Elephas maximus indicus: one gene and its partner. The protein of the gene in region 1 purifies or fractionates together with the protein of each later gene. This does not show direct contact. Links are inferred from orthologs where the notes say so. Each region holds a gene or a part of one and is shown in the gene's direction. Other genes may lie near its edges. The genes, in order: BCORL1 and YAF2.

Region 1 (15,620 bases):
TTGGGATTGGAAGAGTTTTGTAAACTCTTACGCTTTATACAGATGTGAAGGATTACTATTATTATTATGCAGTACAAACTTTCAGTTTTCTCCCATGGATCTGGTTTATTGAATACTCTCCTTAATAAAGGAACACATTGCTGTCTCATTAGGGGGAGAGTAACTAGGAGTATATAGCAACGTGTATGTAAATTTTTGTATGAGAGACTGACTTGATTTGTAAACTTTCACTTAAAACACAATCAAAATAAATAAATAAATAAATAAAGGAGCATGACACAGCCCGGTCAGCCCTGGAGGCTTGGGGGTCCTCAGTAAAGTGCCCTGTGTGTGTGTGCATACGGCGCTCACATACACCACACTCAGTGGGAGGGTGCAATAGGGTGGAGCCTCTTCCCCCAACATTTATACCCTGATAAAATGGGGTGATAAAGAACAAGAAGGATCGACTTGAAGGGGAAAACACCTCACAAATATATAGACAGAGGGGTGTAGGAGACAGTCTTGTTCTCTACACCTTCAATGCCCAGAACAAACTGGGGAAAGGAGCTCGCTTAATGTCTGCTGAATGAATGACTGTTGGAATGGAATTGGGAAGGGGGGCTCCCACTTCACCTTTTCTCCTGCTGCGAAAGTACTGAGTATGTGCAGATGAGTCTCAGCTCCTTTCATGGGCAGGAGTCACCTCCTCCTAGCCCAGTCCCCCAAGTCCTGATGTGTCCCCGCAGTTCTGTTGCAGCAAGTCACTGTACGCCTGGAGGTCTCTACCACATCAAGAGGCCTGGCGTTCAGAGACCCAGCACACAACCAAGGCCACTCACACCACGCATGTCGTTGTCATTTGATTCTTCACCAGGCCCTTCAGGATCTTGCAAAGCCTCTGGATTGTTATGAACATCAATCAACAAATGGGGTCATGGATGGATGGGAGAGTACTGAGTACTTCGTGACTGGCAAAAGCCCCATACAAATGTAAAGGATTATGGCATTGTATTGCAAAATTAGCTTTCCGATTCTTTGAGGGTTGTGATCATTTGGATTTGGGCAAATTGGAGTTTACTGCATTATGAAATGTGTGTAAAGAGCCCTGGTGGCATAGTGGTTAAGCGCTCAGCTGCAAACTGAAAGGCTGGCGGTTCGAACCCACCATCCACTCCTCCAGAGAAAGATGTGACAGTCTGCTTCCCTAAAGATGTACGGCTTTGGAAACCACATGGGGGCAGTTCTACTCTGTCCTATAGTGTCGCTATGAGTTGGGTTTCATTCCCCCCCCACCTCCGGGAGGGCTGTCCACGCATGCGTGTGTTCAGTGTTTAAGGCCCATAGGTAGAACCCTACCTGGCCGAATGGCACATACAAAGAGTCATTTAGATCCATGCAAAGGCAATATTGGTAAGTTAACAAGAATCCCTGCTCCTCTCTTTTTTTCAATATGCTTTTATATAGGTGCACTCATTGGATTCTCCCAACAACACTATGCCACTGTTAGGTCCCTCAGACTTGAGTTCAGTAAAATAAAGCACACAGTGAGCTCAGAGAAATCTACTTTTGAGACTTGCAGGCTCTGAGAACTTTGCCTGGGAGAAATGTTCAGACAGAGAAAAACACGGTCTGTGTCGGTCCTGGCAGGGCCCTCCAGACCTATGGCAACTGCCCTCCATTCTCTGTCCCCACAGAGCAGCTCTACGACACCTCCACAGCAACCTGCAGACCAAGAAGAAGGCTCTCTTTCAGTCAGTCATTCAGTCAACAAACATGTATTGAGCACTTTCCCATCAGCACCAGCCCTTCTGCTAGGCTCTGGGCTACTTGGATGAAGAAGCCTCCCCTGCTCACCGTTCACTGTGCACTCCTCACCTCTCAAGCGCCATGTTTTGTAGTCTCTTTTCCCTTTCAAGGCACTCCTTGATGTTCATTTTATTCTGTTGAGCGAAGTCAGGGCTAATGGTTTTGAATCTACCCCAGCTGCTTGGTCTCTGATGCGCCTACAACGGGTGCCTTTGGAGAGGGCAGTGCTCAGGACATCAAATGGGGCTATCAGACATGGGACATGGGTATCACAAGCCTCCAGAGGAGATGCAAGCCTGTTTATTTTTTTGTCCACACCCTTGACAAGTCAGGAGAAAAATCATGTGATCAGCGTTGTGTTGGAATAGCATTCTCACCTTGGGTTCTGTCAGAGCAGATGCTTCGGGTTTGGAAGGCCTCTGGAAGGTCTGGAAGGCCTTTCAGGGAGACTGTCTTATTGGTCCTGGGGACATGGCCTTGTGCATTCTTTGTGGTGAAACTCTAGTTAACGAAAACACCTCTGGATTTTGGAATTTTCTCATTTACTAAAGGTTAATCCTTAACTTCTTTTTTTGTCCTGCTGCTTTGAGTAGGAAATCTTTCTAATATACATGAGCCCACTTTCTGGATTGTTAGTAGAATCTACTGAGCCACTGAATAGAATCGCTCTTTGTTGACTGGGTATCTTGCAAGGATTTGCCATCAGTGGATCCCTAATTGGGGTCCCCAAGCCCAGAAAAGCCTGTGGGAGACTCTGTGAATTGTGTTTAGTACTTCATAAAGTCTATTGAGACCAACTGGTAACGTAGAGGAGTCAGCAAAAAAGAGGGAAGGCTTCAATGAGATGGACTGACACAATAGCTGCAATAATGGGCTCAAACATACCAACGATTGTGAGACTGGTGCAGGACCAGGTAACGTTTTGCTTCATTGTACATGGGGTCATCATGAGTTGGAGCCAACTCAGGGCAACTAACATACACGCACGCACACACGCACGCATGCGCGCAGTGAAACCAAACACGTACCTGCATGAAGCTGCAGAGATTACACATCGAGTGCTTTTCGGTTTTGGCTGGAATAAAATTACCACAATGTGGCTAGTTCTGGCTGATCTGAAGCTCTGGTGGGTAGTTTTGGATGTGTTTGGTAAATTTTTAATTGGCAAATTAATTATTACAGGAAAACATGTTCTGTTTAAATAGATGAGCATTTCGAACACAAGGGAGTTCAGGGCACAGACTCTGAAGTTAGACTGTCTGGATTCGAATTCTGACTTCAAAACTTACTCGCTGGGGAGAAACAAAAACAGAACAAGCAGACAAAAAATGAAACAAAACTTATTAGCTGGGAATGGGTAAACAAATTTGTGGCATATCCATATAATGGAATATTATGCAGCCATAAAAAGGATTGAAGTACTAATATAAGCTACAAAGGTGAATGGACCATGAAAACATTATGCTAAGTTTGTGATTCATTTACAGGAAATGTCCTGAATAGGTAAATCCGTATAAATGAAAGCAGATTGGTGGTTTCCAGGGGCTGAGGGAGGAGAAGAATGTGGGAGCAACTGCTTAACGGGCGTGGAGCTTTATTTGGAGGTGATGAAAATGCTGATGGTTGTACAACGTTGTGAATGTACTAAATGTCACTGATTTGGTCACTTTAAAATTGTTGATTTTATGTTATGTGAATTTCACCTCAATTAAAAAAAACCTTAATAGCTGGGCAACCTCGGGCAAGTCACTGAACTTCTCTGTGCCTCAATTTCTTCATCTGTAAGAGGGGGAAATAATACCTTGTGGGGCTGTTACGAGTTAGTATTTGTAAAATCCTTAGAACAGTGTCTGGTACGTACTAAGTAACATATAACTTTGTTAAATGGAGTCCCTGAGGGAAAAGAAATAATAAAACCCTTCTTAGCGAAAAGTTTGGGCATCTCTGGGAAAGATGAAAATGGAAAAAATGCTCAGTGTCTTTCAAGGTATAGTCCATGGATCCGCTGGTTCAGAATTATCTGTAGAGACTTTCAGAGATGCAGAGTGCCAGGCACCAGCCCGAATCTATTAAGTAAGACCCTGGGCAGGAGGGTGCCTTGGAATTTGAATTTTAACAAGCTAGCTCTCCCCAATGATTCTTATGTATGTTAAAACTTGAGAAACATTGGTGTAAGAGTTTATATTGAATGTGTGCTGACAGCAAAACACTCATTTCATGGATTTAAAAAAAAAATCTAAATACCTGATCTTAACCTGATTTTTAATTATCTTGCAAGTCTTCACAAAAATGGACAATTCCTCCTCTGGAGCCCCTTGCAGTTTAACGAAGAAGAACAGAAACACAAGAATATATATAAACACACATGCACACACAAACCCAAAATAAGAATGGTATCTTTACCAAGTTATCTATAGCAGCAAAACTATGTGCTTACTCTATGCTGTTAATGTTGGTAGTGCTATGCTGGGCCGGGTCGAGGACACAGGAAAACATAGCCCTTGCCCTCTAGACATTTATAAATTTAAGAGGCAAGATGGCTACTGAAAAGGCTGAGTGGTTGATTTGAGAAGGGCAGTGTCTGTACGGATACGGGGCATTGGGAGAAGGCATGGTGGGCAGGACTTGAGGAGGCCTATGCCCCCACTGCTCCCCAAGAACAGCTACTGTCAATGAATCCCAAATATTCATTGAGTGCTGTCTGCTCAAATGCTGGCGGGCGAGGGGGGAGGTAGGGGAGGGAGGTGGGGATCCACCTTCTGTGACAAGGTGCCTACCCTCAAATGGGGAGGTCAAACTAGCACAGAAAAGCATTAAGTGCTAAGCTGGGCAGTACTTAACCTACCAAGAGGTTAGGGATGAGAGCATTCCTAAAGGCAAAAAGCATTTGGAGAAGGCTTCCTTCAGGTGGGACTTGAAGGATTTGGCCTGGGAGAGTGGCATTCAGGTGGAGGCACTGGGATAGGGGTGAGAATGTTATGTGTGGGTTCAGCAGGGCACCTCAGTCCCATGCCAACTTCCCCACCACACAGCAGGACAAACGCAGCCATCCCAGGAACTGAAATTTGGTTAGCGCCAGTTGATTGTTGGCCACCGAACTGGGCGCTAGTCTCAATATTTTTTTCCTCAGTATCCTTTAGCCTCTTTTGGGAGGGGGATAACCGCTTTACTAAATAAGGTCTTGTTAAATTTCATTCCATTTCCCTTACTGAAAATATACTTCTCTTTTTCTTTATGTTCAGGTTGTGGCTTTTATTCCTGGGCTTGAATTAAGCAGGTACTCCCAGGTTCTGAACTCATAAACGTTTCTCAGATTTTAAAAACACTGCTATTGAGCATCTATTAGGTGCCAGGAACTCATTTGGTCCTTATAACGTTTTCAAGAGGTATTTATTAGCCCCAATTTTATAAACAAAGAAACTGAGGCTCAGAGAGAAATGCCCAAGGCAATATCCCTAACTTCAGAGATTGTGTGCATCGCCACTATTTGGGAAGAGAAAGACTAAAAGAGACCGAGACTTAAAAGTGAGTCTTTAACTGGCAAGAAGGGAAGCCAGGTCTGGGCCTCCACTTCCCCACTGTAAAACAAGGGAGTTGGACTAGCTCATTCACTCATTCATTCACTTAACAAACATTTATAGTGGGCCTAATCTGTGCCAGGAAACCCTGGTGGCTTAGTGGTTAAGTACTACGTATGCTAACTAGTAGGTCGGGGGTTCAAATCCACCAGGTGCTCCTTGGAAACTCTATGGGGCAGTTCTACTGTGTCCTATAGGGTCACTATGAGTCGGAATCAACTCGATGGCATCGGGAATCTATGCCAAGGTGGGGGAGAGAGGAAGAAGAATGTGATACACAGAGGAGAAATACTGGGTCCCTTCATCCAAGGAATTAAAAATGCGGTTGGAAAGAGACATGGGCAAAGTATATCAAAGTGCTAAATAAAGGGATAAGCTAAGTACTGTGGAGATACCCTAGAAGGGCAGTTAACTTCCACAGGGAGGGGGCCGGGGTGAGGGAAGGTGTCCTGAAACAGCTGGCAGTGGGCAGCCACAGCCAGTTTTTCAGGAGAGCAGGTAATTTCTTAGAGTTCCTTCCATCTCTAATACTGTATGTTTGATTAAGAACTTAGTTAAGTGCCTGAGAGTCTTCGGGGGGAGTGGTCAGCCAGCTGGAGGGGGCTTGACCTGGTGAGGCCTCTGGGGTGAGTCTAGTCCCCTTTCGTATTTTCCCCCCTTTGGCCATAAAATCTAAAAAGGTTGTTGGTTGTTGACAGAGTTAAGTTTAACCAGACAGGCTGGCTCGAGATCTAGACCCGCGGTCCTACCAGGGCAGAGCCCAGGCCTTCCCGGGCAGCTGGCTGGCCGTTTGTTCTCCCTCGGTGAGCCAGCGCTTGGTCCCCAGCGCTCAAGGGCTGCTGGAATGCACGAACAGCAGCAACCCTGCTGTAATAGGGTTTGTGATTTTGAGATTTACAAATAGCAGGCATTGAATCCTCCCCCACCCCTCCCCAGAACATAAAGTGAAACACTGGCAAACACCATGTAACCCTTGGCCGGCCCTGCCGACCTCACACCAGCCCAGCACTGTCTCCTAGCAAGTGTGAGGCTCTTTCTATCTCCCCCTCGCCCCTGGTCCCCTTTCCACCGGGGTGACTTAGAATGAGCCCTTTGGCAGCCTTGAGACTGAGTTCCAAACCTGACTTCACCTTCAAATGAGCGACTGCAGCAAATGAAGGGACGGCCAAGCCTCCAATTTGCTTCCCTCTGACATTCTAAAGATATAAAGTATTTGGGATTTTTTTTTTTTTGGTCCTAGGGCTGGGTTGCTTTACCAGAGAGACAAGACCTCTGATTGCAGAACAAAGCAGAGAATTGAAGCAATTATCCTATGAATTTAGTTGGAGGTTGGTTTGGGGCTACTGAGACCCCCTCCCCAATGCCTTGCTTTGTCTGGTAAGTTGCAGGAGGGTGGGGCCCAAGCTGGAGTCACCCCTAGGTCTCTGTACTACATGACCCCAGAAGCTTATGGTGTACAAAACCATCTCCCATCCTTTATCTCATACGATGCTCACTGCTCGCGGAAGTAGGGCAGGTACCTTGATTTCCGTATTATGGGGGGGGGCGGGGAAGAGACCCAAAACATAGTCCCTGGCATCGGGCTGGCACTACTCAGTCAAATGTTACGGCTTGTTTGAGGTCACATTGCTAGTTATTGACAAGACAGGACTAGGACCTGGTGGTTCTTAGAACTTCTCAACAATCCTCTTTCCATTATACCAAGATGCCTCTCTGAGAGTCAAGGCCTGGGCCAATAGATCTTATTGGTGGGAGAAATAATCAGAAAAAACAATCTGCCTAAAAAAGGACTACTTTGGTATTCAGTGGAGACAGGTACCATATTGAGAAGAACTCTGGATGGGGAGTCAGGACTACTACTTGGGGGTTGAGTCCTGGCTCAGGATCTCACTAGCTATATGACTTTGAGCAAGCCACTCATTGACTCTCATTGACTCAGTGTCCTCACCTCAATTACAAAATTGAGCATTGTGAGAAACAAATGAAATAATGTAAGTGGGAGGGCCTTATAAACCAGTCCAATGCTGTACGAAAGTAAGGTATTATTATTATGGTTATGTTGCGGTTCTTGCCTAAAATAAAATCATCATTAATATCTACATTCTTTACAAGGTTTCCCACACTTCTCTCCACCCTGCTCCTTGGTTTCCCATCATCTCCTGTAGGGCAGGAAGCCTGGCCCCCAACAGGAAAGGGCTCAGAGAAGCTAGAGCTCCAGCCAGGAAACAACCATCTTGCCCCAACCTTCATCTCACCAGATAAATGATGCAGCCAAATGGCGAGACACAGACTAGTGGGAACAGAGGTGGCCAGAATCCATTTCAGCCTCAGACCAAGGAGCAAAGTAGCCCTAAGGCCCTAAGAGCCTTAAGAGAAGTAGAGATTTCATAATTACTAGATTTAATTAAAATCAGCAAAGATGATCAACTTAAATCAAAGCAGAATTGGTGGGGCCCCCTCAAGAGGCAGTTTCCCCCTAATAATGCATTTTGAATTCATATGTTGATTAGCTTGAACAACTTATTTCCAAATCTTTACCTTCCCTTGGTGCACCTTAGGCCAAACACTTTTGGGCGGCAGGCGTGTATGGGAGGGTGCAGTGGCCAAGTAAAACAAGCTAGTGAGGAGGTTCCCAAAGCAAAACAAAATGGCCAGCACCATGTCCATTCTGCAGCCAAGAGATGTGGAGGCTAGTGAGGACAAGCAGGAGGGGGTCATCCAACACCAGGCCTCAGCAACAGCAAAGCCACTGCAACCTTAGATAACTTGTCCTCCTCCTCAGTACCCACGCACATCCCTCAAACCAGGTGAGGGAGACAAACCATCTCAAAAGTCCTAGCAGAGGAGGGAAGACAGCCCCTAGCTTACAGATGGACCCCCTGGGCCTAGGAAAAGGGAGGGGGTGGGAAAGAGGAGGAGGAGGGCATTCATTCGGCAGGGCTTCCTTCTAGCCCAAATGACTCTCCAGCTTCCTTAGTATGGATAAGTATATAATAAATAGTATCAATATATCTGCACATAAAGTTTTTTTTTTTTTAATTCCTGCTATTCATTCCACATTCCGTTTACAAAGCGCTGAACCCTCCAGGAACTACTGGGCACCTCCCCTAATACCCTCCAGGCTGAGGCGATGCCTTTGAAGTCTCTACTACAGGCTCAGGGTTAGAGCTGCTAAGCACCCGAAGACTGAAAGCGAGTCTGCCTGCAGTTTCAGCTCCTTCGCAAGCTTCTCTCCTCGTTAGAGTTAATGTAAAGTCACCAGAGTTCGAATGTGGACCACAACTTTGCTTTTCAGCCCTTCAGTCCAGGGGATGGCCTGGGATGTAAATACACAAGAGAATTTATTTCTTTGGCCAGGCCGGGAGTCGTTAGGGTAAAGGGTAAGGGTCAAGGGGCTCGGATTGGTGCCTGAGGAACCCAGGAAAAGCGGGCAGAACCCGAGTCCTCTTCGAGCCGGTTTTTGGCCCCCGAGTCGTGCAAGATTCCCCCTTTATAGACCTTTCGCCCCCTTCCTCCTCTCCCCTCTCCCGCTTCTCAATCCCTCCCCCACCCCGCCCCGTGCCTCCACCCCGCCCAGGTAGGGGGCTGCGCTTTGAGGGCGGCTTTGGGAGTTTGCAGCCCGGGAGGTTACCACGAAGGGTGGGCCGCCTCGGAGTCGCGAGGCGAGGCGGCGAGCCCCGGCATTTTCCCTTCCCCAGCACCTGTCCCACTTCAGCCGCGGGCGGCCTCGGTGCCCGAGCGCCAGAGCCACGCACCGAGGTCGCTTGGGGTGGGGAAGTGGAGGGCGGGGGGGGGCGGGTCGCCTAGTGGGGCGCCCCCCTCGGCATGCAATACCCTACACCCCCCAACACGCACACAGTGAGGCTAAAACGGGGAGAGAGAGTCACAAATAAAGCACTAGCGAAAACGCTCGCTCTCCGACCCCGAGCGGCGCTGCTCGCGGCCCCCCCCCCTTCCTGGAGCCCGGGGCTGGCCAAGGAAGGTGGCTCCGCTCTTCCCCCGTGGCCAGTGCGGGGTCTGCGGCTGCCGGGCGAGGTTCCGGCTTCCCCGGGGCTCGCAGGGGGAGCCCCGAGAACTGCAGGCCTGCCCCCCTTCCTCCTCCTCCTTCCCCTCCTCCCCCACGTGTCCTCCCGGAGCCCAGCGGCCTGATCTCAGCACACCCCCCCTCGCTACCTCCCTCCTCCTCCCGCGTCGCCCGCTCCCCCGGCGGCGTGGAGAAGAGCAAAGTTGCCACAGCGGCGGGCGGGGGGGCTCTCCCCAGGTGAAGGGGGCGCCGTGGGGGGGCCGGCGCGGCCCTGCGGCGGGGGCGGGGGGGGAAGAAACTTGCTTCCCATGGCCCCCACCGCGCGCGGGTTCGGATCCTGCGTGGACCGAGCCCTCGTGGCGAGACGCGGCAACGGCGCCTGGACCGAGGCCGGGACCCGGACCCGGACCGTGCGCCTGGGCCGCCTCGGCGGGCGCAGGCAGCGGGCCAGGCCGGCACTCAGGCAAGGGCGGGGTGGGTGGCCGCACACCGGACCGAACCGGGGACGCGGGTGGCCTGGGCGCGGGCCGAACCGGGCCGGGGCCGAGTTGGGCGGCGAAGTAGGACGTGGGTTCGGGGGCGGGGCGCGCGGGAGGGAAGCAGGCCTGGAGGGCTGGCCTGGGCGTGGGGGTGGGGGGCGAGTTCGGGGCACTTGCTGGGCTCGGGACCGAGCGGTAGGGCGGGGCGGCGCGAGGGCTGGGTCGGACCCGCGGGCCGAGCAGGGAGGGGAGCCGGGGGTGGAGTAGGGGCGTGGAGTTGAGAACGGGGTCTGGCCTCGGCCGGGGGCGAAGGTAGATCGGCGGGGCCGCGAGCCGAGGGAGGGAGGCCCGCGGCAGCGCGGCGGCGGCGGAGGCCAGCTTCCGTGGAGTTTGTGCCGGGGCTGCCCGGGCTCTGGCCGCCTCCCGCGCACAAATGGGGAGAGGGGACTGACTGGTAAGCAACTCCGAGTGTTAGACGGGGTTCGGCGGCGATTCCGGGAAAGGCGAGCAAAGACACCGTCTGCAATTACGCCGCACCCCCCACCCACCTCTTAGCATCTGGATCCTGCTCTCAGGGGGCCGCGGACCCTCCCCGCACAAGCCTTCCACTCCCCAGCACTCCCACTGCCTCCCGTCCTTTCTTGGCCATCTGACTCTCCTTTGGGGTCTGCGTAGAGGGGGGGGGGGTGCACGATGATGGTGAGGCAGACTTTCCCTCCTGCGGCGGCAGGCTAGTTCGTATCTTATTCTACAGTGTAGCGTCGCTTCGAGTCGCGTGGACGTTGGGGTTTAGCTAACCTACCCCCTAGGTACCCCAAGCAATTTGTCTTTTAAGGAAAGGGAAGAATCCCTGGATTTCCACGCCTGGGATGAGGTTTGAAGATTGGGATTCACTCCCGGCTCACTTCCACTACCAACCCCTTTCCTGCGAGCCATTTCCACGGGAATCCGAACCTGGCGGGGGGAGGGGGGCGGGAATATTAACGTGCTTCTCTATCTCGACACAGGATCGGTGTGGCGGAGGACGGCTGGCCTCGGAGGGAAAGTCGCCATCAGTCCAACTCGAGTCGCCCCCACTATCACTTAGGTGAGGGGGGCAGAACTAAGAAGGGGATACTGGTGGGTAGAGGGCCCAGTACAAGGGAGGGGACTGGGTCTGCGCCCCTAAGGGACTCCGATTCTTGGCGGGGAGACAGAGGCAAGCCCCGGCTTCAGGGGAGGGGTTCCGGGGAGGGAGATGGGGGGTGGCGACGGCTGGCGGGGGGGGGGAGGGAAGAAGGGGGGAGTCACGCCCTGCCAGCGAGGGGAGCCTCCCTCTGGCCCCTGGGAGGAGGGGACTGAATGCGTTTGCTCTGTGCTGCCCGGCAGGGGAGGTCTCCGGATTTGCACACTGGATCCGGCACCAGTGGCCTGAGAAAGTCAGGTCGGGGCATAAGGTGGGGAGGGTTGCAAGAAAGAGAAATCCCTGGCCTAGGCGCACTCATCTCCCTTCCTCAACCTCCCCCTTCGGGGGACGTCGAGGGGGGGCATGGAGCTCTTGCAGCCCCTCGGGTTGAGCACCTCCGCCTCTCCCAGGAGTCTAGCTTTTTGCCCGGCTTGCTGCAGCCACCGCTGCGTCCCTCTCCGGAATCCGCTCGGTCCTCGCCGCGATCCCCTCCTCCTCCCCTCCCCTCCCAGTGTCACCGGGGCTGCTTGGCTCTGCCCCCTTCGCCGCCGCTTGCTCCCTGCTTTCGTCCCTCCCTCTCTTTGCTTGCTCGCTCCCTTCGCCTCCTCCTCTCCATTCCCCCCCCCACGTCGGCGGTGTTCTGGGAGTTGTAGTCCCACGGAGCAGGGGCTGGCGCCGCCCGCGAGCCCGGCCGGACTCCACTTCCCGTCGAGCCCTGCGACCGGCACCCACTCCACCAGGCATCTCTCGCACACACAGACACACACACACATCGCTCTCCCCCTCACTCTTTCGCTCGCCGCGGCTGCTGCCAGTGTGTGGCTCTGTCTCTCCTCCGCTTTGCTGAGCCCTCCCTTCTTCCTCTCAGTTCCTAGAGTCCGACCGCCGCCGCCGACAGAGAGGAGAAGGAGGTCGGTGGCGATAAGGGGCGGAGGGGGGCAGCTGATCTGGGCGGTATTAGGCGGGTGGCGGTTCCGAGGGGGTTAGAGGGAGCCCGGGTGGCGGCCTGAGCCTCCCCGCGGAGCCGACCCGGGAACAGGTGCGTCTTTTTTTTTTTCTCCCCCAAGCCTCCACCCCTTTTGACTCCCCTGCTTTCTCGTATCCCCCCACTGTCTTCTTTCTATCTTAAGCTTTTCACCAGCCCTGTCCCTTTTTCGCCCCGTGGCCGCTCTGCTTGTCCCTGGGGGCGCCGTCCTCTTCGTGTCCCCGGACGTAGCGCTCCCTGGAGCTCGCTCTGTCCTCGCCCCTCCCTTCGGGACAGCTCCCCTCTACTTCCCACCTTCGTACCCCATTCCTCTGCCCTAGCCTACCTTCGCCTCACCCCCTTCTCCCGTAGCCAGGTGAGACTTGTTCACCAGGATCCGAGGAAGAGTCTTCTTCCTGGCTGGGCGGGGGCCTCCATGGAAACACGGGGGTCGATTGATCCTGGGGAGGAAACCATTGGAATTACCCTACTCCTCGGAAAGGGCGGTGGAGGCTATGGTCTTGTGAACTCTCTGGTCCTCGACCCCCCATCCAAGAACCCGACAACCCTAAGGGAGGCTGGTCAGCAGGGCAGGGCGAGAAAGGGCTTGGTTTTTTTTTTTTTTTTTTTAGGGGGGTTGTCCGTGATGAAGTCTTGAAAAGACCAGGAGAAAATACCCTCCAACCTCAGAAGGGAGGTGCGCCGGGTGCTCTTGAAGGCTGCTTTCTCCCCGGTGCTGGGGTGCGGGAACCATAGGGTAAGGGGGACCCCTGGGTGGCGGCGGGGCCTGGGTTCGGGAGTGGGAGTGTTGTGATGGGGGCAGGGGCAATTAGCCGAGTCCCTGGAAAAAAGGCGGGGGATGACTTCGGAGCGCCCTGGCTCAGCTGCCCTCGCTCCAGGGGCGGGGGCCGCCGGGCCGGGCGCGGTGGGGAGGGGGCTTACAGGGAAGGAGGCTGCGATCGGGGGCAATTCACCCTAGCCCCGGCCAGCAAGGGGGAGAGCCAGCGTGCAAGCCCTCCACCCGCCTCGCGCCAGGCCTGGAGGCACGGGGTCTGCGAGCAGAGCCGAGGGCTGGAGGGAGGGAGGCTCCGATTACGGGGCCGGGTTTCGGGATCAGGGGCAATCCCCCAGCCCTGGGAGAAGGAGGGAGAGGGATGGCCGCGAACCAGGGGCTCCCCCCGCCCCCTCGCCGCCGGGTCCTAAGGGGCGTGCAGAACGGCCAGCAGGCCCCGCGGAGCTGGATTCGAGCGGATCGCGGCCGCGGCGTGGGGGGGCTCGGCGGTGGGCTTCGGGGGGAGCAGTCCGGCGGCGGGGCGGGCGGGCGGGGCGTGGGGCTCCGGCGGGGCGGGGCCGGGGCGGTGCTGCCGCCGCCGCCGCCGCCGCCGCCGCCGCCGCTGCTCCTGCTGGGGCCGCCGCAGCCGTTGCCGCCGCCACCGCTTCTGGGCGGGGAACGGAGGCCAAAGGGAGTCCCGTGCCGGGGCAGAGGGCGCCGCTGGCGCGCCGTGGGGAGGGGGCCGTTTTGGGGGCGGGGGCAGGAGGGAGGGTGGAGCCCCGACGGGGGGCGGTGCGAGCCCGGACGACGACGACAAGGAGCCTCGGGGGCCGGGTGCATGGAGGACGAGGTGCTGGGAGGAGGAGGGGGGGGTGGGTTCCGCGACGGGCCTCGTGGGCTTGGCTCCTCGAGGTTCTGCTTCAGGTCAGAGCCCTGGAGGGGGGCCTGGGAAGGGACAGGGAGGTGAGCTGGACGGTGGAGGGGGCCCTCCTCGCCGGAGTCCCGCCGAGAGGAAGGCTGGGCCGGAGGGACGTCCGGGGCAAGACTGGGAGGAGCCGGCCGCACCTCGGCTCCGGGATTTCGAGTTATGGAGGTGCAGGAGATTGTGGTAGGGGAAGATGTGGTCGAGGGGAAAGGAGGGAGGCAAGCACACTGCAAACCCGGGAGACCGACAGCACAGGCCGGTGAGGGGGGTTCTACTATTCCGCCTGCCCCTTCCCCCCTCCCCCAGTGGAAGCGCTATGTTTCTGTTTTATTGTTTTGAAATGTTTAGTGGTGGTGGTTCGAAACTGTCGGTGTGGTGGTACTTAGTCTCGATGTCTCCTAGAGTCATGACAGCGTCAAGCCCCAGGGATTAGGCACTCGCGAGGGGGATGTGGGAAGGGGGCAGGTAACTTTGTGTTACAGCTGAATACTCGCAAGGCACTTCGGATGTTTTCTCCGTGGTACAGAAGTGGAATACAGTTGCAGAACGCTTTGGTGCTACTTCTGGGGATGCAGTTGTCGGTTAGCATCACACTGGGTTAGCTCCATAGTTGTTTCAACTTAAAAGGCTAGTTCTCAAAGTCACGTTGCTGAAATGTTTTATGGGGAAGTAGACAAGGGGTGCATTTGGGGTTAGGAACGTATTAGGTGAATAATAAAATGCTAGGGTTGGAAGAGACATTAAAGGTCATATAGTTCTCTGTTTGTTTTGTCCTTGAATGTTGGCATAGAAGGAACCTTGTTATGGGGGAGATGGTAGGTGGCACAGTGGAAGATACTTGGAGATTTAGCGGTACTCATATCCAAAGATGATATCACTGTGTGGTACCGAAGATGAAAGAATGTAGAAATTCGGGAGGTTTCACTGGGTATTAAGCAGGGTAACTCAATCCCAAGAATCACCCAGAATCTCTAAATAGAAACAAAAGGTTGGGGAGGAACTTATAAAATTCTGATGGAGAAGCGAAATTAGTAGGACAGACTCGGGGAGCTGGGAGGAGCAGGGGGTTTGGTGAGTCAAGAGAGTCTGAAGGTTGATAGTAGAGTTTAGGAGGGACATGGCCATCTTGACTAAGTCAAGTGAATATTGATAGGCAGACCCATCTTTTGATAGGGCAGCTGAGGCAGCTGTCCTTGAGGTGGGTGTAGGGTGTGAGGGGCACAGGCCTTGGGGCACAGATCCTTACTAAAATTGGCTGTAAGAGAACTGACCCTGTTACATTAGGTTTGCAGCAGGGGTGGGTAGGTAGGTAGGTTTCTTTCTGTCCTGGAGCTGAAAAAAATGGGACTCAAAAAGTAATTAATGGGGGAAGGGAAAGGGGTCCCTAATGCCTGGGCTAAGGAGAACTAGCTCTTTAGAATATGCTAATAAGGAAGGGAAGGCCAATCCTCGAGATGGGCAGAGGAAAGCTAAGGCCCTGAAAAGCTACGCTGTTGGAGTCTGAATTGGGCAGAGTCGAGGGGAGTTCCAGAAGAAAGGACAGCTGCACCAAGGGCACTCATGTGGATCTGGTCATTTTGATCTGCCAGGAGAGGGTAGGGGAGAAAGGGAAAGATACATTTATTTCTCAGTGGTGTGGACTTTCTTGGGAAGCAAAAAGATTTCTTCTAGGTGTTTGTTTGCTTTATTCATAATTTAATTCACGAAATAGTTGTTGTTAGTTGGCATTGAGTCATTTCCAACTTAAGAAGACCCCATGTGTGTCAGAGTAGAAGTGTGGTCCATAGGGCTTTTCATGACCTTTCGGAAGCAGATCTCTTTTGAGGCACCTCTGGGTAGGTTTGAACCGCCAACCTTTCAGCTAGTAGTTGAATGCTTAACTGTGTGCACCACCCAGGGACTCCTATAATTTGCTTCATAGGAGG
Region 2 (15,117 bases), on another chromosome or scaffold:
GCGCATAGGCCAAATTTTCCAACTACTAATCCTTCTTCTTTGTTTCCAACTTTCACATTTCAATCACCAGTAATTATCAATGCATCTTGACTGTGTGTTTGATCAATTTCAGACTGCAGAAGTTGGTAAAAAATCATCAATTTCTTCATCTTTGGCATTAGTGTGAAAGTTTGAACAGCTGTATTAACTAGTTTTTCTCGTAGGCATATGAGTATTATCCTATCATTGACAGCGTTGGACTTCAGGACAGATCTTGAAGTGTTCTTTTTGACAATGAATGTGATGCTGTTCCTCTTCAATTTCTCATTCACAGCAGAGTAGCCCATCTGTTTGTCTGATTCAAAATGGCCCAAGCCAGTCCATTTCAGCTCACTAATGCCTAGGATACCCATCTTCAAGCATTCTATTCCATTTTTGACAACTTCCAGTTTTCCTAGATTCATACTTTGTATATTCCACATTCTGATTATTCATGGATATTTGGAGACGTTTCTTCTCATTTTGAATCACGCCACATCAGCAAAGAAGATTACAAAAGCTTTACTTCATCCATGTCGACTCTACTCTTCTCCAGTCATAGTTTGAGTGCCTTTCAACCTGAGGGGCTCTTGTTCCAGCACTATATCAGGCAATGTTTTGGCTGTTATTCATAAGATTTTCACTGGCCTATTTTCTCAGAAATAGATTGTCAGGTCCTTCTTCTTAGTCTGTCTTAGTTTGAAAGCTCTGCTGAAACCTGTCCATCACGGGTGATCCTACTGATATTTGAAATATTGGTGGCATAGCTTTCAGCATCACAGCAACACGCAAGCCAGCCACCAGAGTACAACAAACTGACAGACGTGGGAAGCATCAAAACAAGATGGAAGGAATACACAGAGTCACTGTATTGAAAAGAATTTGTCAATGTTCAACCATTTCAGTAGGTAGCATATAATCAAGAACCAATGGTATCAAAGGAAGATGTCTAAGCTGCACTGAAGGCACTGGTGAAAAACAAGGCTCCAGGGATTGATGGAATATCAACTGAGATGTTCTTACGAACAGATGCAACACTGGAAGTGCTCACTCGTCCATGCCAAGACAGCTACCTGGCCAATTGACTGGAAGAGATTCATATTTGTGCCCATTCTAAAGAAAGGTGATCCAACAAAATGTGGAAATTATCAAACAATATCATTAATATCACATGCAAGTAAAATTTTGCTGAAGACAATTCAAAAGTGGTTTCAGCAGAACATTGACTAGGAACTGCCAGAAATTCAAGCTGGATTCAGAAGAGGATGTGGAACAAGGGATATCACTGCTGATGTCAGATGCATCTAGGCTAAAAGCAGAGAATACCAGAAAGATGTATAGCTATGTTTTATCGAATATGCAAAGGCATTCAACTGTGTGAATCATAACAAATTATGGATAACATTACGAAGAATGGGAATTCCAGAACACTTAACTTTGCCTGTGCAGAACCCGTACAGAGACCAAAAGGCTTTTGTTTGAACAGAACAATGGGATTCTGTGTGGCTTAAAATCAGGAAAGGTGTGCATCAGGGTTGTATCCTTTCGCCATACTTATTTTATCTATATACTGAGCAAATAAACCAAGAAGCTGGACTATGTGCAGAAGAATGTGGCATCAGGACTGGAGGAAGACTCATGAACAACCTGAGACATGCAGACGACACGACCTTGCTTGCAGAAAGTGAAGACGATTTGAAACACTGATGAAGATCAGTGGATTACGTCTCAACATAAAGAAAACAAAAATCCTTACAACTGGATCAGTAAGCAACATCATGATAAACAGAGAAAAGTTGCCAAGGATTTAATTTTAATTGGATGCACAATCAACACCCATGGAAGCAGCAGTCAAGAACTCAAAGGACATATTGCATTGGACGAATCTGCTGCAAAAGACCTCTTTAAAGTGTTGAAAAGTAAAGATGTCACTTTAAGGACAAAGGTGTGTCTGACCCATGCAATGGTATTGTTAATCACCTCATATGCATGCAAAACCTGGACAATGAATAAGGACGACAGAAGAAGAATTGATGCACTTGAATATATGGTGTTGGTGAAGAGTATTGAATATAATATGGACTACCAGAAGAACACACAAATCTGTCTTGGAAGAAGTACAGCCAGAATGCTCCTTAGAAGCAAGTATGGCAAGACTTTGTCTCTCATGCTTTGGACATGTTATCATGAGGGATCAGTCCCTGGAGAAGGACAACATGCCTGGTAATGTAGAGGATCAGTGAAAAAGAAGAAGACCCTTAAGGAGATAGACTGACACAGTGGCTGCAACAACCGGCTCAAACACAGCAACAAGTGTGGGGATGACGTAGTACTGGACAGTGTTTCATTCTGTAGTACATAGGGTTGCTATGAGTTGGAACTGACTCAGTGGCATGTAATACCACCACCACCACCAGTAGTGTTACAAGAACGTACTAGATAGGTTAATTTCAAAAATCTTTTCTGAGCCCCCAGACACCTTTTTAGCTCAGTAATGAAGTCATTCCTGAGGTTCACTGTTCAGCCAAAGATTAGACAGGCCCATAAAACAAAATGAGACTAAATTGGCACACCAGCCCAAGGACAATGACAAGAAGGCAGCAGGGGACAGGAAAGCTGGTAATAGGGAACCCAAGGTCAAGAAGAGGAGAGTGTTGACGTGTCAGGGGTTGGCAACCAATATCACAAAACGATATGCATACTAATTGTTTCATAAGAAGATAGTTTGTCCTGTAAACTTTCATCTAAAGTACGATAAAAAAAAATTTGCTCAACTTTTTATGTTGGTGACATATAACTTTTATACCGAGCAAAATCAGTAAAGGTATCTTCATTTTGCAAAAACAAAATAAACCAAAACACCAAAGAAACAGACAAAAACCAAATTAACCTTTTAAAATGTGATTGGTTTTACAATTGTAGTTTATTGTTGTTATATTTCATTTTGAGTTCTTCTCTCAGGGAAGAATTGTATCTTATTCCTCTCTTAGTCACACTAATTTCCTTTCAAATTCCAGTTGATAAATGAGACAGTGCTCACCATATCAAGTATTAGCCCTTGTTGTCTAATAGGTGTATAAAACTTTAATGCATGGTGTTTATTGTTGTTGTGTTTGTTTCATGGGCATAAACTTGGGTCTAATTAGAACAGGCTGGGGCCCACGGGACCACGCAGTTAGTCTCTCAATGTATGTAAGACAGGGGCACTCAGTCTTTTTTATATCTCAACAGCAAACAGATTACTGTTCAGCTGCACGCATGATCTCACGTACAGTTTCAGTAATTTCTCCAGTCTTTCCCACTCTAGGAAGCATATTAAAATGGAAATGAATATATCAGTTACCTTGGAGTTAACTTAATTTTTTAATGGTAAATTATTATAATACTTTACCACTTTTAAATTGTTAAAACAATTGCCAGTTTGTGTCATTTTACAAGTGACCCCAATGAATTACGTTTGCGGACTGAACTCTGCAAATGTATTGAAAAGGCACCTAAATGGTTAAGAACCTGGATCACTCTAGTGACAAGGATCTTCCTCTTCTGCAGTCACTCTTTTCAAACCGTAAGAAAAACACTTCAGGAAAAAAGATTGGACTCTTGTGGTAAAGAAGGAGGAGGTGCTTCTTCACGTAAGTTTAGTAAAGGCAGGATCTTTCTAAGAGAAAAAAAAAAGCACCCAATAAATGGTCAGCAACTGGTATAGTGCAAGGGCATGTGCTTCATAGAAACTGGGTTCAATCTCTGATTCCTCTACAAGGATTACTTTGCAGAGTTGTAAAGTTCAGTGTGCAGGGCTGTAAACTTCAGCATTTATAGACCATCTACTGCATGCCAATATGCGTAATGGGCTGTCAATCTCAGTGTGAAAAAACACCTCATCCATGAACTGTGGCATGGATGAATTTATTCCTTCTCAAAATATTTATTAAGTGTCCATTATGTGTCAGACTGTTCTAGTGACTGGAGGTGCAGCGATGAATACCACGAATACAAATTCCTGCCCTTCTTGCACTTGTGCTTTGGAAGTGAAGCTTACTTTCTAGTGGTGGAATTTATTTTCTAGTGAAATGGTGATTTACACCACTGACAACTTTTTTTAGAGTTCTTGATTTGATTTTCTTTTGATTGAAAAATACAGTGTTGCCATCACTTTTGCAAACAGACCAGTTCTTGTCATTCTCTTTGATGATGCATCCAGTTGAGGAATATAAAAAACATCACAATGCCTTAGAGTTGGAAGGGACCTTAGTTGTGACAATAGTTTTAACTCTTTATTTTACTGATGAAAAAAACCCAAGTGGCTTAATTAAGTTTACCCATGGCATTACTGAGAGACTGAGACTAGGCTTTAGATCTCCTTCTCTTGTATGCTTTCCTCAGTCAAAATCCCCATGGTTTCTGAATCAGGATTTGAGTCAAAAAAAGTGACACTTGCAAAAAGTACGGATAGTGCTGAGTTCAGAGGCTGCTGCAAATTGGGGTGATTTGGTTAAGCAGAACACATGGCTTGGTAGAGGACTAATAGACATCTGAGCTCTAATCCTGGCCTATTCATTAAACAGAAGCCATTTAACCTAGGCCCTAACTTCCTTGTCTTTTAAATGAAGAGATTAAGACTAGAGAAGAACTAACATTTGCATAGTACTTTTGAGCCTTATAAAATACCCATTTGTATACAGAGATTTACAAAATGCCTGGCATATAGTGCTAAAAAATGTTGTATTATTACTAGTCACGCAGCAACCTTATATATATATATATAGATGCCATTTTGCAGACAAAAAAATTGAAAATTACAGAAATTTTTCAAGATCCATCAGTTAAAGATTAGGGGAAACAGGCTGGGAACTGGGACTTCTAACTGTACTATTTCCTTTGTAGCACATTAAGACCCTTTCAGCTATAAAACAGAAAGAATTCTTTAGGAACTCAGATCTGACGCGAACCTACAAAGATGGGCAGAAATAGTAGTCAGAGACAAGGGCAGATAACCCACTAAGCAAGCTTACTTTTACTTACTAATCTATAGTGAACAATTTCACGTGGGTGTCACCGTGTATTTGAATTGTTCACTACAGATTAGTAAGTAAGCAAAAGTAAGCCCATACTTACTTTTGCTTACTGGATTATCTGCTCTTGTCAGGGATTGCAAAATTGAAGACAGTCTTTGATCCTGTAGGAAGGTGCTGTGGGGTTGAGAGAAAGATGCCAGCCATACCAGAAGCAGAGTCTTTCATGTGGTGAAAACACGTGAATTGTTCACTACATATGATCTGGTAAGCAAGGTAAGCACTGCGCTTACCTTGATTATTGGATAATTGATCTCTAGTCAGACCAAACCGAAAAAAGAAACCCAGCACCGTCCAGTTGATTCTGACTCATAGGAAACCCCGGTGGCATGGTGGTTAAGTGCTACGGCTGCTAACCAAATGGTCGGCAGTTTGAATCCGCCAGGCGGTCCTTGGAAACTCTATGGGGCAGTTCTATTCTGTCCTATAGGGTCGTTATGAGCTATGAGTCTGGTCAGAAAGAAGGGGGAAATATTTCATGCAGTGCACGAAGGGTTTCGGCAAGCGGTTTCCTCTTTAATCCTCCTCAGGAGGCTGCGTTTCTGTTGGGGAGTAGAATGAGAGTTAGGGAAAACTTGTGTTAAGTCTTTGAATGCCAGCCTAAGGAGTCTGGTCGCCATTAGCTTATGAGCAGAGTGGTGGCATAATGTTAACAATGTTTATTATTAATCTGGCTGTGGTTTAGGATATATACTGGTGCGGTGGGATTGGAGCTTCAGAAAGCAGTTACATGGCTGTACCAGAGTGTAGAACAAGGTGATGAGGGCCTCCATTACGTTGAGACCAAGGGAAAAGTGTTCCTTTGTCAAAAAAAAAAAAAAAAACGGGTTTGCAAACTTGTTATTAAAAAAAACAAAGGTTTATGAGTATTCATTTTCTTTTAAAAGCTGCTACTGCAGAGTCCTGGAAAGCCAAGAGGGCTAGTTTGGATTTAAACCAGGCTCAGGCTCTTTTTTTCAGGCTCCTAGATTTGCACTTTCTAATATGTAACCTACAGGAAGTCACCTAATCTCTCTTGAGCCTCAGTTTCATTTTCTCTAAATTGAGGGTGACAACGCCTATACAGTAGAGCATTTGTGTGGATTTAGGCAGACAGTGTTTGACACCTAGCAATGGCGCTCAATGTCGGTTCCCGCCTCCCCCCAGGTATCCTTCGGGCGGGTGTTGAGTAGACATGGACGGCTGAGGCCAGGAAAGCGGTTCTACCTGCAGACTCCCGCAGGTCCCTTCTGTCCCGCGATGGGTTACCTCCGAACGCTGGCCTCACTTCGAACCAGGCTTCGCGTGGGATGACGGAGCATCCCCAGTCCTCCTGCAGGCCACACGCTTCCTAGCAGGAGCTCCGAAGCGTGCGACACTCGGGGACGCAGAATGGAAGCGCGGGAAAGAGCGCGGAGCTGCGGCGGCTGCGGCGGCGCCCGAGGCTGCAGCGGCTGCCAGCGAACTGGCCGCGGGTGCTGGGCCGCGCTAGCCGTGTTTGAAGTCTCCGGCGCGGCCGCTGGTTGGCAGGCGCGGGTCACGTGCGCCCAGGCAGGAGTTTCCCCGACAGCTGGAGGCTGCGTGGGATCCGGCGGCTGCTCCGAGCTCCGCGGTGCGGCCTTCCCCGCCCCCTCCCTCCTCCCTCCCCCGCCTGCTTCCGCCGGGCTTATTATCCTTCTTATTGACAAACAGAGCAGCCGCGGCGGCGACTCTTGGCGTGCGTTTGTAGCCAAGCCATGGGAGACAAGAAGAGCCCCACCAGGTAAGAGCGCCCGGCACCGGGGTCCCGACTGTGCGAGCGGCGGGGCCCTCGCGCTGGGTTTCGGGCGGCCGCCTCACTCGCCGCCCGGGCACCGGGGCGAGAACGGGGGCGGCGCCGCTGCTGCGCGAGCGCTGCCGTGTGAGGGGCCAGCGCCGGCCACCCCACAATGGAGGCGCGATGGCGGCGGTGGCCACAGGGGCAGCCCCCAGTGGTAGAGCGTCGGCGGCGGCTACTGCGGCGGCTCTCGCGCCCTTCTCCTCCCTGACTCCCCTCCCCCTCCGAGCCAGAGCGCAGCGCGCCGGGGGCCGGTGAGGCGGGGGTCGCGGAATTGGGGCGGGGCGGGGATGGCCGCGGGGCCCGGGCGCGGCCTGCTGGTGACCCTGCGCCGCGTCGTGTCTGGGTTGTGTCCTGCAGGCCGAAGCGGCAGCCGAAGCCGTCCTCGGATGAGGGTTACTGGGACTGTAGCGTCTGCACCTTCCGGAACAGCGCCGAGGCCTTCAAGTGCATGATGTGCGATGTGCGGAAGGGCACCTCCACACGGTGAGTCCCGGGCCTGCCCCGCGCGCCGCCGGGTGCCCGGGTGGCGGCGCAGAGGACGCCCCTGCGGCGGCCGCCCCTTCCCGTGACACTTGCAGACCCAAACGGTAGGAGAGGTGAGACTGAGGTGGTGGCCGCGATAGCAGCTGGGTCAGATTGATCGCGACCTAGGCGATGGTTTGTGGTGAGGGGTAATTGAAGAGGCTGTAGCGTTTTTTGCTGCCAGGAGAGGATAAATTATTTAAGAGAGGCATTAGCTACTGCGATTTAATTCGTATTGCTGAGTGTAATGGAGCCCCCCCCCCCCCCCGCCCCGGATATAATAATCTTGGCTGCATTTTTGTATTAGTGTGTGGGGATCAAGGAAAGCCCATGAAATCCACTTTGGAAGCAAAGGATGTAATCTAATTGCATTCCTCAAAAAAGAAAAAAGTATCTGTAGAATACACGGTAGCTTAAACTTCATTTTGAAATATGGAAGGGTCTTGTTTAGTATTCTTATGGAAATTCTCCAATATTTTATAAATAAATAGTTGGAGGTAAGCCCACTCAATAGGACACATTTTTTTACTGAAAGTATTTGAATAGCTTTAGCTTGATTAAGTGGCAATCTGTTAGACTATACAAATGAGATAAAATGATCCCTGCCTATTTTCAGTTTTAACTTTATGTTATTGTACGCTTAAAGTATAATAGTTCTGTCTCTTAAAAAACCACTTAAGTCAATTAAGTGGCTAACGAAAATCATCCAGGAAATTCGAAGTCAATGACGTTTTTGATCTCCCAGCACTTAGGGAGTTGCTTTGCCTTTTTATAGGAGGGTAGCCTTTGAATTAAGTTGTTAGAATCCTCTGATTTATAGCTTAATATTTATATAGTTTATGTAATATGGTCTTACAAAGTCTGTTAGAAATGAAATTATTAAAAGTATAAGAACATTATTAATATCTTACAATGTGGTCTCTTGTTAAAAAAAAAAAAAGAGCCTAAATATCGGTAATGTTAGATTTAAATATTCAGTTGGTATTAGATTTCTGAAAATGAGATATCCTGATTTTTAAACCCCATTTATGGGATTTCATTAAAAAAATGTTAATATAGAGGTAGAAGTGGTTGACACTAATTTAAAATTTTAACATTTCCTTAGTGAAACCAGATGCTTTTGAAGTCTTTTGGTAAATCATAAGATGTTTTTTGTATATTAATTCCCACTCGTATTAGATAAAATGTATTGAACATTTTCATATTCTTTAAAAAACAAGTTTTTGAACATCTACTATATTCAAGGGAATAAAACAGCAGAACATTATAAAAAGAAAAAAGTACCTGTATGTGTAAATGAATCTGATCGTAAACTGTTTTTGGACCCGTGATTTAAGTATTTTGAAAAGCAGAATATCCTTTTATCTTGATATCTTTATTGCCTTGGATTTGGTTTAGGCTATATTTGTATATTTTATATTAGTACTTTATACTTTTTAAAATGCTCAATAAACAAGTTCTAGAAAATTTGTTTTTTTGGAGACAGGCGCTTTAAAGTGGAGACAATTATTATAATCTTAATCTCTGGTACTATGTTGTTGCTTTTTGTTGTTCCCTCTATTTTCTTGTAGCCAATAGAAAAATACTGAAATTAGAAGAGCCTATATGTTTATTTGCAGGGACAGCAAGGAAGGGGGGAAGCTGGTGTCCTACTCCACAGCCAGTCTTGGGGTTAGAGGAACCCTGAGAAATAGAGTAGGTGGTGACAGCTCAGAAGAGAAGAAACAGGCCGCATACCTGGCACCTGGAAGAAGAAGGAATATAGTGCACAGGGGAGTTGGCCCAGGACAGAGAAGTGGGCCTAGTTTAAAAGAGGCTTGAGGCCCATGTGGGGGCCCCTGACATTTTTTACCAGTACTTCTGAGCTCTTGTAGATCCAATTTTTAGTGGTGGAATCATTACTTGAGGAGGACTCAGAGAAGCATTGTCATTTGGATTGAAACTGAAGAGGCTCTGGGCAACTCACCAGAAGTCTAAGGGACACTCTGTTCCTAAAAGTAAGTGTTCTACACTAAGACCCTCTCAGCTTCTTCCTTCCTCTCTCTGAATTGTCTCTTCTCTTTTGATTTTGGCCATAAATTAAACGTAAGAGCTCTAATTTCTCTGTTAATCTGTTGTTTTCCTATCACTGTTTCTGAAATTCAGAGTGGAATCCATGTTTGGAAAGAACAATAGAACAGGGCATTGTTAATAGGGCAGATATTGATGGCATCACAAAATAGTTTGCTCTTTGGTAATATTAGAAAAACAGAATGAAAAGACTGTAGAACACTACTAAGAAGCAAAAGTTGCAGTAGTTGGAAGAAATAATTCTCTACAACTGACATTTTAATTAGCAGTTAAGGTAATTTCAAGGGTAAGGCTGGAGAGTACCAAACCAAGGAACTGAATAGCTGCAGCTCTGAAGGATCCAGTTTGTTAATGACTTGTTTGTGTGACCAGAAGACAGGATTTCAATCCCTTGGGTCACACTGACCTTTGAACTGATGGTATCTCAGTCTCTTAAATTTATAGCCAAGTCTAAGCCATCCTAGACATTTAAAAATCCAGAGAAGATGATTCCATCGTCTCCCTTAAAGTCTTTACAGACCATTTTTTTTTTAAGACTATCTAGTTCAAATTCTCTACGTTGCAACAGAAAACTCTTTTGGATATTTCCTTGGTAGGTCATGCTTTTCTGCAGAACGACTTTATATGCAGTGAAATGAGCTTATATTCATAAGATGTATTTCAAAATGAAATGTGACTGGACATAGCTTCAGTTCCTCAGATGATAAATTATATTATTTAAGTTTATGTTTCTGTGATTGAATTTCAGTTTTTGTACTTGGTGGCCTTCATGAGTTTAAATTTGATCTATTCAACTCTTTTTTTTCAAAATCCGGAATCTAAATAGCTAGATGGTTCAAATACCTGAAGTTTTCTACATTGTGCTTTTGTGAGTTAAACACTGATAAATGTCCTACTAATAGAAAAAACTTAGAAAAACAAAGCTGTGGTGACAAATGATTCCCATAAGTGGCAGACTGCCTTCTTCATCTTTATACCTGAAGTTCTTATGAGGCAGTAAGTGTCCCAAATGGAAACTTTAGGAAATTAAGAACCATCACCAGAGAAAAAAATGTGTGTGAGGATAGTAATCAGTATATAATGATTGAATTAAACTAGTATCTTATTGCCAGTTGTTCATATATATATGGAAGAATGACTTTATTGCTTAATTCAGATAGCAGATATTTTGAAATGAAAATAATAGAGCAGTTGGTTTTAGTTTTGAGCTGTGGTCTAAATGAGAACCTATGAAATATCTGGTACATAGCAGACTTCCAGATGTAATATCTTTACCTGTGATATTTTCTCAGTGTAACTTGTAAAACAGTTGTTCCTCCGTGTCTGCAGGAGAATTGGTTCCAAGACTCCCCTCCCCCACCCCTGCAGATACCAAAACCTGAGGATGCTCAAGTCCCTTGTATAAAATGGCAAAATATTTGGGTATAACCTGCACACATCCTCCTGTGTACTTTAAATCATCTCTTGATTACTTATAATACCTAATACAACGTAAATGCTATGTAAATAGTTGTTTCATCACAGTTGAAGACTTGATGTGAAAGGTAGCCTTTCTCTTCTATGAGTTTCTTGAGCTCTTTTGGGAACACTGATACTACATGGCCATCAGCCGATGCCTATTTGCCTGTGATCTTGAGGTTCTTGAGGTCGTAGAGCTTTACATAGCTAGCCAGCCATCCCCTACTAGCCTTAAACTTCCTCCAGCTGTCTTAGACCCATTCACACTTAGCCCTCGAGGGATTGCTTTGACCACTTTGTGGCTTTTTAGGAGCCATTTTACAGAAACCAAAGTGCACACAACACAAGTAGCAAACAAGAGGGGAGGTAAGCAATGCTCAAATGAGTTCTGGAGAGAAGCTGAGGGTCTGGGAAATGGTGGGAAGCTACAGCCTACACATCCTTTCATTTGCTTGGATTCAGCTTAGTGCTCCGCGCGTGGCAAGTTGAAGTTTTGCTTTTTGGAACTTTTTTTTTTTTTTATTAGTATTTTTGATCCACTGTTGGTTGAGTCCATGGATAAGGAACCCGTGGATATAGAGGGCCGATTATTCCTTTGGATTTCTCATAGGTGTTATTTTAGAGAAATGTGGAAAAGATTCCACATAGTGTAAAGAGCGCTAAGTATTGAAGTAGGAATCTGGTGATCTGGGTTCATATCTTATTTTAACCACTTCAACATTCAGCATTCAGCAAATGTTTACTGAACATGTTACTTTATGCAAGGTCTGAACTAAGTACTGGACATAAAATGGTGAGCAAAATAGTTACTTGTTTCTTCTGTAAGATTTTAGCTTTGTTGTCAAATTATAAACACTTTGAACAGTACCAAATTCTGTGTATGATGTACTTTTAGTAAATCTTTCCTTTATATATGAGCCAAAGAGTAGTAACTTCTCCATTAAAAAAAATCTTAAGTTTATAACTGAACTTATTATTATGATTAGGATCTGGCTGCTGGTAAAAAGAATAAATTACTTTTGCTTCTATAAGTTGGGGGTAAACTACATAGAATTCACATTCTGAAGAAACCTTAAGGAAACCAACTATTTGGTGAGAAATTTTTTCAATATTATTGTTGTATTATACTTGCTTTCTGTCTTCTAATTTGAAGTTTGATACAGAGTTGATTGTCTTAGACTCAGAGTGAGAATGGGAGAAAAAATTGAAGACGGTGTAAGTTAATTTTTCAGAAATACAGTATCCCCTGTCTCTCTGAGGATCTTCCTCAGCTACCACAGAGTTGTTCACAATAAAACTAAATAAAAACCAATAGCCATTGAGTCGATTTTGACTCCATGACAACCCCATGTATGCAGAGTAGAATTGCATTCCATAGGGTTTTCAAGGTTGTGACCTTCCAGAAACCCTGGTGGCATAATGGTTAAATGCTACGGCTGCTAACCAAAGGGTCAGCAGTTCGAATCCACCAGTTACTCCTTGGAAACTCTGTGGGGCAGTTCTACTCTGTCCTGTAGGGTCGCTATGAGTCGGAATCGACTCGGCGGCACAGGGTTTGGTTTTTTGACCTTCCAGAAGCGAATCACCAGGCCTTTCTTTCAAGATGTCTCTGGGTGGGTTCATACCAACAACCTTTTGGTTAGTAGTTGACTGCTTAACCAGTTGCACCACCCAGGGACTCCCGTTGTTGTTCAGAGACTCCTTGTTATAGGAGACTACTTGTTTGTTTTTTCTTTTCTGTATATCTTGGTTTCGGAGTTCCTGGGTGGTACAGACTATTAAGTGTTTGGCTACTAAAAAAGTTCGGAGGTTCAGGGTCACCCAGAGGTACCTCGGAAAAAAGGCTTGGTGATCTGCTTCTGAAAGATGACAGCTTTGAAAACCCTGTGGAGCACAGTTCTGCTCTGCAACACATGAGTCAGAATCGACTTGATGATGACTGTTTTTGAAGGTGATTATTGTTTGCATAGTCCAGAGTGGTGGTGGTGTTAGGTGCTGTCGAGCTGGTTTTGACTAAAAGCAACCCTATAGAACAAAGTAGAACTGCCCCATAGGGTCTCCAGGGGGCAGCTGGTGGATTCAAACTGCCTACCTTTTGGTTAGCAACTGTAGCTCATAACCGTTGCCCGACCAGGGCTCCTTTGGTGCAGAAGCAGTGGTGGGTAAAACTGCTGGTACCTTAGCATGAATCAAAGCAGCCGCACGAAATTGCTGTATTCCTCGTCTTCCTCACTATTGTGCGCTCAGAGGAGACATAATGCCAGTTCCACTTAAGAATATCCTTGATTAGGCATTAAGAATTATAAATTTTATTAAATAATGTCATTTTTAACATTCTCTCTGATGAAATGGAAAGTACACATAAAGCACTTCTGCTGCATACCGGAGTGCAGTGGTTGATTCCAGGAAAAGTATTTATGCAGTTGTTTGAGTTGTGAGCAGAATTAGTTCCTTTTTTCATAGAACATCATTTTTATTTGAAGGAATGACTGACAAAACTGTGGCTATTCAGACTTGGTTATTCAGCAGAGATTTTCTCAGAAACAAAGTGAGCCTGCCACTTCAAGGAAAACAATTGTCAGTATTTGCTGCCAGTGATAAAAGCTGAACTTTCAAATGAAAATAAGAATTTTGGAAAACTTGTAAGCACTACAGTAAGCTTCAGAGTTTCCCAGTACTTTAAAGACTTTTCTAATAAGATTGGCGGTGATATTAATGAATGTGATTTCTGATATCATACCATAAAATGTGTCAGCATTTGGAACATCTGCATAACTCAGTGACCTAATATTTTCCCAGTGATCAATGGATGAAGTTGCAAAACCATACGTGAATAATTCAAAGTGCAAAACGAACCAATTGATTTTAAAGGGAACACAGTATGAAAAGTTCATTGATGATTTCCATTCTACATTGCAACTAAACTTTGGGAAAAGACTCTTTACTGTGTTTTTATGTAGTATCAAAGAAGAATATCCACAGTTATCTGAAAAGGTTATTAAAATATTCCTCCCCCCCCTTTTTTTTTCAACTACTCTCTGGAAGTCGAGATTTCTTTATATTGAACCAAAACAATATACTGCAACAGATTGAATGGCAAAGCAAATACGAGAATCCAGATAGATGTCTTCCATTCTGAAGAATGTTAAAGAGTTGCAAAAATATAAAACAATGCCACTCTTCATACTTAGTTATTTTTGTGTTTTGGAAAATAAAGATTTTTTTCACATTAAAATATTTATATTGATGCGGAATGTTCTGATTATGGTTTTAAAAAATGAATATATACTTTAAATTTTTTTCTCAGTTTTCTAATACAGTAAACATCAATAGATAAAACTCACATAAACAAAAGTTTTTTGGGGTCTTCTAACCTTTAAGAGTGTAAAGAGATCTGAGGGCAGAAAGTTTATAAACTGCTGGTTTATAGTTTTATTAGCTTGAGCTTCTACACATGACATATTTACTTCAACAGGCGTTCTTTTTCTTTCCTTTCTTGAGTGAGGCCTCTAAAAACCAGTGACCTAGTTGTTAAACTCAGCAGCCTAATCTCAGTCTTCTTTCGATGTGATCCCTGCAACATTTGATGTTGCTAGCTTTTAAAAAAAAATTGAAGCTCTCCTCTGACTTCTCTTATACAACTTTTTCCTAGTTTTCCTTGTATGTCTCTTAAATCTATTTCTGCTTCCTCAAACCTGGCTTCTTGTCTGTGTTCCTTATTTTGTATGTGGCATAAACTTCTTTCTGGAACCCAAGAAAGAAACTATCATCTCAACTTTGATTCTAACTCATTGTCATCCCTCCTATCCAGTATCCCTCAGTTGTCATATTGAGAAACACTTTGAGATTTGTATCCTCCCTTTTCTGATTTGTATAGCCATAGTTCACAGGCGCTCACCATTTCTCTGATTGGCTATTGGACAACTTGGTCTCTCTGCCTTCAGAGTGCTGTTAATGGTATCTTGGTTGTATTTCAACCATATCTGATTATGTTGGTCCCTGTAATAAAAAGAAATTTAAGTCTCCCCAGTGACTACTGAGTAAAGCTCCTGAGCGTGGTACCCAAGGCTTTAATCTATCCTTAAAGTACTTCCCTAGATTCATTTACTTCTGCTTATCCCACCAATCCTGTATCCATGCTCAAGTACCTTTATCAGGTGGTACTCCTAAAAAGAAAAA

Evidence for each region.
Region 2: the proteins of BCORL1 (region 1) and YAF2 purify together in Homo sapiens (affinity purification with mass spectrometry; 5 studies listed by BioGRID and IntAct, counting the BioPlex papers as one, with this or other methods). This does not show direct contact. The link is inferred for Elephas maximus indicus from reciprocal best matches to the Homo sapiens genes BCORL1 and YAF2.

Annotation. Positions count from the first base shown.
Region 1 is NC_064846.1:26,453,830-26,469,449, reverse strand, and holds the start of BCORL1 (BCL-6 corepressor-like protein 1), read left to right. Parts: upstream 1-9,538; 5' UTR 9,539-9,627; intron 9,628-9,931; exon of another isoform or gene 9,932-9,950; intron 9,951-10,184; exon of another isoform or gene 10,185-10,323; intron 10,324-10,876; 5' UTR 10,877-10,956; intron 10,957-11,640; exon of another isoform or gene 11,641-11,945; intron 11,946-12,630; 5' UTR 12,631-12,755; intron 12,756-13,604; exon of another isoform or gene 13,605-13,620; intron 13,621-13,739; exon of another isoform or gene 13,740-14,276; intron 14,277-15,620. UniProt on the Homo sapiens protein: Transcriptional corepressor. May specifically inhibit gene expression when recruited to promoter regions by sequence-specific DNA-binding proteins such as BCL6.
Region 2 is NC_064822.1:96,838,533-96,853,649, reverse strand, and holds the start of YAF2 (YY1-associated factor 2), read left to right. Parts: upstream 1-6,681; 5' UTR 6,682-6,805; coding exon 6,806-6,831; intron 6,832-7,245; coding exon 7,246-7,371; intron 7,372-9,029; coding exon of another isoform or gene 9,030-9,231; exon of another isoform or gene 9,232-15,117. UniProt on the Homo sapiens protein: Binds to MYC and inhibits MYC-mediated transactivation. Also binds to MYCN and enhances MYCN-dependent transcriptional activation. Increases calpain 2-mediated proteolysis of YY1 in vitro.